2 linked regions of the Saccharomyces cerevisiae S288C genome follow. Changing the gene in region 1 together with any one later gene gives a genetic interaction. Each region holds a gene or a part of one and is shown on either strand. Other genes may lie near its edges.

The links. Genes that interact genetically often act in the same process or in processes that back each other up.
Region 2: mutations in ALT1 (region 1) and PDB1 together harm fitness less than expected from each alone (positive genetic interaction), as found in Saccharomyces cerevisiae (2 studies listed by BioGRID).

Annotation. Positions count from the first base shown.
Region 1 is NC_001144.5:316,412-322,939, reverse strand, and holds ALT1 (alanine transaminase ALT1), read left to right. Parts: upstream 1-2,924; coding exon 2,925-4,703; downstream 4,704-6,528. Other genes in the region: GEP5 (Gep5p), read right to left, coding at 1-643; XDJ1 (Xdj1p), read right to left, coding at 860-2,239; GPI-anchor transamidase subunit GAA1, read right to left, coding at 4,989-6,528. UniProt on the Saccharomyces cerevisiae protein: Alanine aminotransferase involved in both alanine biosynthesis and utilization. Under respiratory conditions, constitutes the sole pathway for alanine biosynthesis and catabolism.
Region 2 is NC_001134.8:664,653-668,950, reverse strand, and holds PDB1 (pyruvate dehydrogenase (acetyl-transferring) subunit E1 beta), read left to right. Parts: upstream 1-2,697; coding exon 2,698-3,798; downstream 3,799-4,298. Other genes in the region: TDP1 (tyrosyl-DNA phosphodiesterase 1), read left to right, coding at 1-288; PCS60 (Pcs60p), read left to right, coding at 600-2,231; YBR221W-A (uncharacterized protein), read right to left, coding at 2,309-2,413; YBR220C (uncharacterized protein), read left to right, coding at 4,274-4,298. UniProt on the Saccharomyces cerevisiae protein: The pyruvate dehydrogenase complex catalyzes the overall conversion of pyruvate to acetyl-CoA and CO(2).

The sequences.
Region 1 (6,528 bases):
GTTTGGCCGGAGAAACTTCGCCAAGAGCGTTCCTGACAGGAATTTGCACGCCAGGGGAGGGGTATTTTTTGTGATTGTAGCTTAGATGACTGTTCGCTATTAAAAATTTGTAGTGGTTTCCAAGAGAATTTATCAGGAATATCCTCTCTGGTGTGAAGGTATCAAGATCTGTCCCACTCAGACGCATTAACGATGGCGGCGTTTGGACCCAAGGGTTTTTAACGTTAAACAGTGTTATCCAATCCGCCTTCAGCCAGACGCTCCTTGAAGACGTTGAATTTAGTTTCCCATTGTTTACAGCGATGGAATCTACCAAGTCTCTGTGGTTCTCAAATGGCCAGTGAGTCAGTAGAAAGTGGTAGTGTTTTTGGAAGAGATGCGCATGTCGTGGGAGCGGGTTATTCCATTGGAAGTGCGTTTGGTAAATGATACTCTCCAGTGCTTTTAAGCTTGCCCTTAAATCTTGTCTTCTTTGCGCCTTCTCGTACAGTTGTAGTGATTTTGTTAACGGCACGGCTATTTCTTTGAACTTGTAATCGCTTTGTTTACTTGTGAGTGTGGTCGTCAATGCTACCTTGGTTATTTGATGAAGCGGCGTAGACTCTATGACCGGCAGTAATAAGGCGTTAACCTGGGACGCCATTGTTGCTCCAAGTTCGCAATCGCTGTTCTGATAGAAGGCCTTTGTATGCTTGCTTTATGTCCGCCGCGATGGGGATTCTTCCTATTTTTCTACTGAAGGTGCGAAAGACTTCATTCTTCACCGCATTCAGTAAATGAATTTCATATATATACATATATACAGGTAGGATAACTTATGAAAAAAAAAAAAAAATAGAATAAAAAGTTATTGATGCCATCATTGGATACAGCAGTACGAACTTCTTGCTTTCTGATGCGCTGAATCCTGTGCTTCTGGCTTGAACGGCCTTATCCCTTCTGGAAGATCGTCCGTGTGAATGATCCGGAAATTTGATATAGTTTCGTTGTTAGTCAGGTTGCTGTCATCTTCAGTATTTACAGTCGCATGTGAGGCACAAGATGAAGATGACGGCAGATTCGTTTTTATTGCTAGTAGTTCTGATTTTTCATTGAACCAGTTATCTGGTGGAAATTCAATATGAACGAAAACATACAGATCGCCGCACCGGCCATGAGGGTTATCTAAAATGGGCCAACCTTCATTGGCGATTTTGATGGTGTCACCAGGTCTTACTACTCTGCCAGGTTTAACGCTCAATGTTAGTAACCTGTCGTCGAAGGTTTTTGTCAAAAATTTCTCAAATCCCGTCAAGGCCTCGCTTAACGATATGGTAATGCTTGTATACAAATCTTCCCCGGCGCCGTCGTCAAAGTTCTTCAAAAAGATTTGCTTCTGCTCCAAGTTTTCTTGTTTTTCAGTGAGATGGAACTTTAAATCACCACATGTGGTCTTATCGATTTCCTCGTCCGCCATCCCCTTGACTGTAATTACGTCGTTAAAGTGGTGTCCCGGAGCCACGTTCACTGTGATGATTTCCTTCTTTGACAGGAGCCCCAAGCCTGCGCAATCGGGGCAAAAGTTCTTTGGATTCTTGGGTCTTTTAGTGTACTTCCCCTTACCATTACATTTCTCACAGACCACCCATTGCGAAGCTACCAAACCGGGACCAAACCTCTTCAGACGTTCCTTTGAACCCTTTCCAGCGCATGATTCACATTCCACATCGTGTGTAACGTGAATTTTCCTCTTTGGTTTCCAGCCAGAACCGTGGCACTTTATACAGATGACCTGTCTCTTTAAATCAAACTTCAGCTTCTTGCCCATGTACAAATCCTTCAAAGTAAGAGATATATCGATATCGATATCCTTAGAGCTTGTAGAGTTGCCCTCTTCGTACGCATCATACTCGCCAGGGAAATTATTTCCATCGTGACTTCCATTATTGAAGAAATTGTTAAAGAAGTTCATAAAATCTTCATCTCCAAAGCCATTAGCGCCACCGCTGCTAGCGGCACCATTATCATCACCATACAAGTCGTAATGTGATTTCTTCTCCGGATCGCTCAAGATCTCGTAAGCGGCAGTGATCTCTTTGAATTTGATTTCATTTACCTCCTTTGAGTCTTGATCCACATACTTGTCCGGATGATGTTTCAGGGCAAGCTTTCTGTAAGCAGTTTTAATCTCTTGCACGGTCGCATCTCTCGTCACCCCCAACACATCGTATAACCGGTCTCCTCTATCACTGCCACTCATTCAAAACTACACCTGCGTACTTACTTTTCCCTTTCTTTTGGGTCCAAGCGGCATATCTCTTAAGATAAGATAAGCCTGACTCTTTCTTTGCCTCTCTGCCTTTCTTTCTTCTTCCCTTCTGCAGAGGATGGCTCGTCGCTACTCAAATCCCGACCCAAGAAACAAAGAAACAAGGATTGCACAGCAGAGCGCTGCCCCACACACATATATGCATATGTTTATTTACCGCATATTCGTGGCTATATAATCCATATATAATACACAGCACATTCATGATATAATCTTACATAGTAGCACTTCCCATTAGACGTTTTCTGCTTTTACAGTACTGGTTTTTTTTTCACTCTTGCGTCTTTTTTTTTTTTCATTCTGAAGGGGTCCAAGCCTAACGATTTTCGACCTTTCGTTGAGACAACTTCACGTACTCTTCTGACCTGCTGTGGTTGACGTATTTAGAGTTTGCTGCGCCCTTTGTAAACGATCGTGACCCGCGGACCATACTAGGAAAAGCTCTTCCGTTACTACTACTGCTTTCTCGCTATTTTACTCTAGTTGTTCATACTAGTCACACGTTGCTCGAGAACAGGACCAGCTTCTTTGTTTCTCCCCCGCATTTAATTGTTTCTGCTTCTCAATTGAACGCATATAAATATATTTCCCCAGTCTTTATTTTGCTCTCTCCACGATGTTATCACTGTCTGCCAAAAATCACTTCACAGTGAGTAATTCTATAACTCACGTTATTAAGTCATATCATATAAGGACTCTCACTTCAAGCGCAGAAAAAATGCCACATATCACTACTCCTTTTTCTACCTCAGCCAGTAGTACAAAGTTAAAAGCTTTCAGGAAAGTTAGACCCGTCCTACAGAGACATAGCTCTTCCTGGATTGTTGCTCAAAATCATAGACGTTCATTATCTGGTCAATCTTCGCTAAACGACCTGCGTCATTTGAATCGCTTTCCACACCACACGTTGAAAACTTCGAATAACGAGTTTTATCCCGCCGAACAATTGACTTTGGAAGACGTAAATGAAAATGTCTTGAAGGCTAAGTACGCCGTTAGAGGTGCCATCCCAATGAGAGCTGAAGAATTGAAAGCTCAACTGGAGAAGGATCCTCAATCTCTGCCATTTGACAGGATTATCAACGCCAATATTGGTAATCCTCAGCAACTACAACAGAAACCTCTGACTTACTACAGACAGGTCTTGTCTCTCTTACAATACCCAGAACTATTAAACCAAAACGAACAGCAGCTAGTTGATTCGAAATTGTTTAAACTAGATGCCATTAAACGTGCAAAGAGTTTAATGGAAGATATCGGTGGTTCTGTTGGTGCTTACTCTTCTTCTCAAGGTGTAGAAGGTATAAGGAAAAGTGTCGCTGAATTTATAACGAAGAGGGACGAAGGCGAGATATCATACCCAGAGGATATTTTCCTAACTGCTGGTGCATCCGCAGCTGTCAATTACTTGTTATCAATTTTCTGTAGAGGGCCAGAAACGGGTGTCTTGATTCCAATTCCTCAATATCCATTATATACCGCTACTCTAGCTTTGAACAATTCTCAAGCTTTACCATACTATTTAGATGAGAATTCAGGTTGGTCAACTAATCCAGAAGAAATTGAAACTGTCGTCAAAGAGGCTATACAGAACGAAATCAAACCTACAGTTCTAGTGGTTATCAATCCAGGTAATCCTACAGGAGCTGTCCTATCACCTGAGTCTATAGCTCAGATTTTTGAAGTCGCAGCCAAGTACGGTACAGTAGTGATAGCTGACGAAGTTTATCAAGAAAATATCTTCCCGGGCACCAAGTTCCATTCTATGAAGAAAATTTTGAGACATTTACAGAGGGAACATCCAGGTAAATTCGATAATGTTCAGCTAGCTTCTTTGCATTCGACTTCTAAGGGTGTTTCTGGTGAATGTGGTCAAAGGGGTGGCTACATGGAACTCACTGGATTCAGCCATGAGATGAGACAAGTTATCTTGAAACTAGCCTCGATTTCATTGTGTCCCGTTGTCACAGGTCAAGCTTTGGTTGATTTGATGGTTCGTCCACCAGTGGAAGGGGAGGAATCATTCGAGTCGGACCAAGCAGAACGTAACTCCATCCATGAAAAGTTAATTACAAGAGCAATGACACTGTATGAGACATTTAACTCTTTAGAAGGCATTGAATGTCAAAAGCCTCAAGGTGCCATGTATTTATTCCCTAAGATAGACTTACCTTTCAAGGCAGTTCAAGAAGCTCGCCACTTAGAGTTAACTCCGGATGAATTTTATTGTAAGAAGTTGTTAGAATCTACTGGCATTTGCACTGTTCCCGGTTCTGGGTTTGGTCAAGAACCTGGTACTTACCATTTAAGAACAACATTTTTGGCACCTGGTCTGGAATGGATTAAGAAATGGGAAAGTTTCCATAAAGAATTTTTTGACCAATACCGTGACTGAATAAAAGGGGGCAGAACAGTCTTCAATAAACATTTAAATAGCTAGTTTATTATAATAATGTGATCGTTTCTTTCTTCCACAACTCACATATAGTTATTTGATATTATCGCATCTTCGCTTCTCTATGCCATGTTTCCATCAATACTTATGTTTTATTTAATACATATTTGTATCAGTATATCATATCATTTCATCTTCTTTTGCTTCGATTTGTAATGTTTGTGCGTATAAAATCAATTGCGTAGTTCGAACACCCGTTAATCCTTTACTTCTTACCAATGGCACCTAACTTTGCTTTTCTTTCGACCTTACTACGACAGATTTAGATTCAAACGATGACGCTAATATCAATAGCCAACATGGAAGCCAACCTATACAAAGTACAAACCAACTCCAACATTTCAAATCCAACCATGCTGAAACCAGTTTGTTTATTATATCAAATCCATGAAATTCATCATCAAAAAATAGTCCGAATAAGGTTATTGAAATAAATGGATTTGTCAAAATTAATAGTACTAAATTTTTTAGTTTTTGTTTCTGTTGTTGGGGGGTTGCTGGCGTTGTATCCATGTGATTCTCGACGAGCTCTATCTCATCTTTCGGCTCAGTTTTTATTGGGTTAGAGGATTGAGTTGTCACCTCATGTTCGCTAGAACTTTCAACAATGGTCTTCACAAATGTCATAGGAAATGCCAATGTGCCGATCAGTAAAGCCATTGCAAAGTTTATCATTAGCAAAGATGTTGAAACCAAACTGAAATATAAAAAAGCAACATTTTTCAACCTGTATGATAGTGGTTCTGAGATGTGAATTTTTCTGGAAAGTATCAAAGGTAAAAAACAAGATGCCATGCTAATTGTCATCAATAATCCCGATGAAGGTATTAGAAGAAACGCTTGTGAAACAACAAATGATATCACCAATGACACGAACCAAACCAACAACGCTACCAAATTATACTCGGAAAATAAGGATATATTTGCATAAGCATTGTTTATAAATGCATTTAATGAACTTATGGCGAATGCTATAGATAAAGCCACAGCGCTTGGCAAATAACTACTAATGGATACGAACTGACGTGGTGCTAATAACAAATAAAAGAAGAACGATTGGTGAAATTTTTCCAAAAGGTTATTAATAGAGCGAAACATTGCTTCGGGTATACGTCCAAATGTAGTAATATCATGACCACTGTTTCCATGTGCTTTCAATGTTACAGATTGAATCCTCCAGCCGCTAAATGCCTCGTTACCATGGGGCTTTTTAACACCGGACAACGCCCAATCCCTTATTCCCAGGCATAATATTTTTAATCTTGACCAGAAATTATTATTAGTTAACTGATCACTGGGTAGACCGTGCAAAGAAACTTTCATACCTTCATGTTCCGTAATGGATATAGCGATGTTGACAAGATCCAAATTGGGCAGCTCACCATTCAGACCGTCGTATGAGATTTCTACATACTCGAAGAAATCTTCCGTACTCGAATAATCCAACACAACAGCAGCTTCAATGGAACCACCAGTCAAATCTAAGGAAGTATGGTATGCCTCAACCCATGATCTTAATGCTGCACGAGGATTTTCGCTGAAGACAACAATTATATTCTTGGACCATACTGGCCAACGTGAGAAAAATCTTGCTAAAGATACACCCAAAGCTGCGCCGCCAATATTGAATTCATCATCTGAATTAAACCATGGAACGGCAAGCACCATCGCTTCTGTTCCATCACCCCTAGGAGCGTGCATTACACCGTACAATGTTTCTCCATATTGTTCATTTTCGTAAATAGCAGTCTTAGTACCAAATTCT
Region 2 (4,298 bases), on another chromosome or scaffold:
TCGCAGGTATTTAAAGAACTAGAATGGTGCCTTTATACTTCGGCAAACCTCAGCCAAACAGCATGGGGCACCGTTTCAAGAAAACCACGCAATTATGAAGCAGGAGTGCTTTACCATAGTCGCAGGTTAGCAAATACCAGGAAGGTCACGTGCCGTACTTTTACACGTGACCGTAGAGGCTGCGCGGGTAATCCCACCCATGTGGCCGTGCCATTCACGCTGCCAGTCATACCATACGACTTAGCTGAGGACGAGTGCTTTTGCCTTGCTCGTCATGAGAACGACTAACAAGTAAGAGCGCGATGTTGCTGTCCACTTAGGCATCACTATATGGGGCCAGGAATGGCAAATTTACTTGATAAACTTCAGGCGATTGGATTTTGGTGCTCAGAATATTTTTTTCTCGGGCCGAAAGCGTCTTTAACTATTCCGAGCTAAAGCTTCCGAGTCCTTTATTCGGTCTTTTTTTATTTTTCAAGATTAACTGTATATAAATAGAGATGGTATGATTAAAAGCTCTTTTTAATAGATGCTCCTTCTTGAAATTTACTCCCACTGTGCTGCAAGAGGTTAGACGCTTCACGCACATTTTTGCTACAATGACAAGTGCCGCTACTGTTACTGCTTCGTTCAACGATACTTTTAGCGTATCCGATAATGTCGCCGTTATTGTTCCTGAAACGGACACTCAGGTGACCTACAGGGATCTATCCCACATGGTGGGTCACTTCCAGACCATGTTCACAAATCCTAATTCTCCATTGTACGGAGCTGTTTTCAGACAAGATACAGTGGCGATATCCATGCGTAATGGGCTGGAATTTATCGTCGCTTTCCTCGGTGCTACTATGGACGCTAAAATTGGCGCGCCCTTGAATCCCAATTATAAGGAAAAGGAGTTCAATTTTTATTTGAATGACCTGAAATCTAAGGCGATTTGCGTCCCAAAGGGTACCACAAAGTTACAGAGTTCTGAAATTCTAAAATCTGCCTCCACGTTTGGATGTTTTATCGTAGAGCTGGCCTTCGATGCGACCAGGTTTAGGGTAGAGTATGATATATACTCTCCAGAGGACAACTACAAAAGGGTTATTTACCGGTCTTTGAACAACGCCAAATTTGTCAACACAAATCCCGTTAAATTCCCTGGGTTTGCCCGTTCCAGTGACGTTGCCCTGATTTTGCATACCAGTGGTACCACCTCCACTCCAAAAACGGTGCCTTTGTTACATTTGAACATTGTGAGAAGCACGTTGAACATTGCTAACACTTACAAGCTAACGCCCTTGGACAGATCTTATGTCGTGATGCCTCTTTTCCACGTCCATGGGTTAATTGGTGTTTTACTTTCCACTTTTAGAACTCAGGGTTCTGTTGTGGTTCCCGATGGATTCCATCCAAAGTTATTCTGGGACCAATTTGTTAAGTACAACTGTAATTGGTTCAGTTGCGTTCCCACAATAAGCATGATTATGCTGAACATGCCCAAACCAAACCCTTTCCCACACATTAGATTCATCAGATCGTGTTCTTCTGCTTTGGCTCCAGCAACGTTCCATAAGCTGGAGAAGGAATTCAATGCACCTGTCTTGGAGGCCTATGCGATGACCGAAGCATCACATCAAATGACCTCAAACAATCTGCCTCCAGGAAAGAGAAAGCCTGGTACTGTGGGCCAGCCACAAGGAGTCACCGTCGTCATTCTAGATGACAATGACAATGTCTTGCCCCCGGGCAAAGTCGGCGAAGTTTCCATCAGAGGCGAAAACGTCACTTTGGGGTATGCTAATAATCCAAAAGCTAACAAGGAGAACTTCACCAAGAGAGAGAACTATTTCAGAACCGGTGACCAAGGTTATTTCGACCCTGAGGGGTTTTTGGTCCTTACAGGCAGAATCAAAGAGCTTATCAACAGGGGTGGTGAAAAGATTTCACCCATTGAGCTCGACGGCATTATGCTATCGCATCCAAAGATCGATGAAGCCGTTGCATTTGGTGTTCCCGACGATATGTACGGCCAAGTAGTTCAAGCCGCCATTGTTTTGAAGAAGGGAGAAAAAATGACCTACGAAGAACTGGTGAACTTCTTAAAGAAGCACCTAGCCTCTTTCAAAATTCCAACCAAGGTGTACTTTGTTGATAAGCTACCAAAAACCGCTACAGGTAAAATCCAGAGAAGAGTTATCGCAGAAACTTTTGCTAAGAGCAGCAGAAATAAGAGTAAGTTGTAGGCAGTATCCTGTACAATTTTATGCTCTCTGAAAGCTTCTATCTGGCACCCGTTTATATACGCCAATACTTATGTATTTTATCTATCTAATGAAACCACAGTATTTATCATGCCTAAGCTGATTCTTTTTCGTCGCGGCTGTTTCCGGGGTCTGTTTTCCGAGACTTCGAAGTGGGAGAACATGCAAAAGAGACGAGTCTTCAACTAAGAAGTTCTCCGTCATTAAAAGTCATGCGTTTGCACGTTTGCAATAAAAAGAGGTGTATCTACATATACAGGTTAACGATTGCAACAGCGACTCTTGATATTATCTCTGTCAAGTTTCTTCCTTTTGTTAGACTAATTTAGTATCATTTACACACTCGGACGTTAAATTCCGCCTCCCTCATAACAGTTCCTGTGTTTGTTCATTGATAATCGATCGCAGTTTAGTAAGTTCTTTTACTTTTGCAATAATTTTGTTCAACATGTTTTCCAGACTGCCAACATCATTGGCCAGAAATGTTGCACGTCGTGCCCCAACTTCTTTTGTAAGACCCTCTGCAGCAGCAGCAGCATTGAGATTCTCATCAACAAAGACGATGACCGTCAGAGAGGCCTTGAATAGTGCCATGGCGGAAGAATTGGACCGTGATGATGATGTCTTCCTTATTGGTGAAGAAGTTGCACAATATAACGGGGCTTATAAGGTGTCAAAGGGTTTATTGGACAGGTTCGGTGAACGTCGTGTGGTTGACACACCTATTACCGAATACGGGTTCACAGGTTTGGCCGTTGGTGCCGCTTTGAAGGGTTTGAAGCCAATTGTAGAGTTTATGTCGTTCAATTTCTCTATGCAAGCTATCGATCATGTTGTCAATTCCGCTGCAAAGACTCACTACATGTCTGGTGGTACTCAAAAATGTCAAATGGTCTTCAGAGGTCCTAATGGTGCTGCAGTGGGTGTTGGTGCTCAACATTCACAGGACTTTTCTCCTTGGTACGGTTCCATTCCAGGGTTAAAGGTCCTTGTCCCTTATTCTGCTGAAGATGCTAGGGGTTTGTTAAAGGCCGCCATCAGAGATCCAAACCCTGTTGTATTTTTAGAGAACGAATTGTTGTACGGTGAATCTTTTGAAATCTCAGAAGAAGCTTTATCCCCTGAGTTCACCTTGCCATACAAGGCTAAGATCGAAAGAGAAGGTACCGATATTTCCATTGTTACGTACACAAGAAACGTTCAGTTTTCTTTGGAAGCCGCTGAAATTCTACAAAAGAAATATGGTGTCTCTGCAGAAGTTATCAACTTGCGTTCTATTAGACCTTTAGATACTGAAGCTATCATCAAAACTGTCAAGAAGACAAACCACTTGATTACTGTTGAATCCACTTTCCCATCATTTGGTGTTGGTGCTGAAATTGTCGCCCAAGTTATGGAGTCTGAAGCCTTTGATTACTTGGATGCTCCAATCCAAAGAGTTACTGGTGCCGATGTTCCAACACCTTACGCTAAAGAATTAGAAGATTTCGCTTTCCCTGATACTCCAACCATCGTTAAAGCTGTCAAAGAAGTCTTGTCAATTGAATAAATAAACTTCAATCCAATAGGAAGGAGAGAAAGAAGGAGATAGGGAACTTTTTTCCCTGTACCCTACACTTTCTACCCTCTTCGCGGAAATAGTACTAATGAGAAAAACATAAATAATATTTTGCTAATCAAGACATGTATGGCGTACTGGTTATTAGTAGATATATAACTGCAAATACACACATACATACAATGTATATATTTTGTTTTTACAAAATTGAATGAGATAAGTACTGTGCACATTGAATGAGTTCCTGTTTCATGGTTAGAATACGCACATATTTATTTTCTTTTTTTTCTTTTCGACGACAGGCTGAATGAAAGAAAGAAAATAAAGATACTCTGGCATGCGAAAATAAGTGAAAAATAAATCGGCTATAATGCGTAAGCTACTGTGGGAAGCAGAAGCAAGACCTAAACGTTTGGTGAGGCAGTATAATATACCATAGTTATAGGGGGATAAAACAAAAGTAGGCATGGAACCTAAGCGAAAGAGCGGGT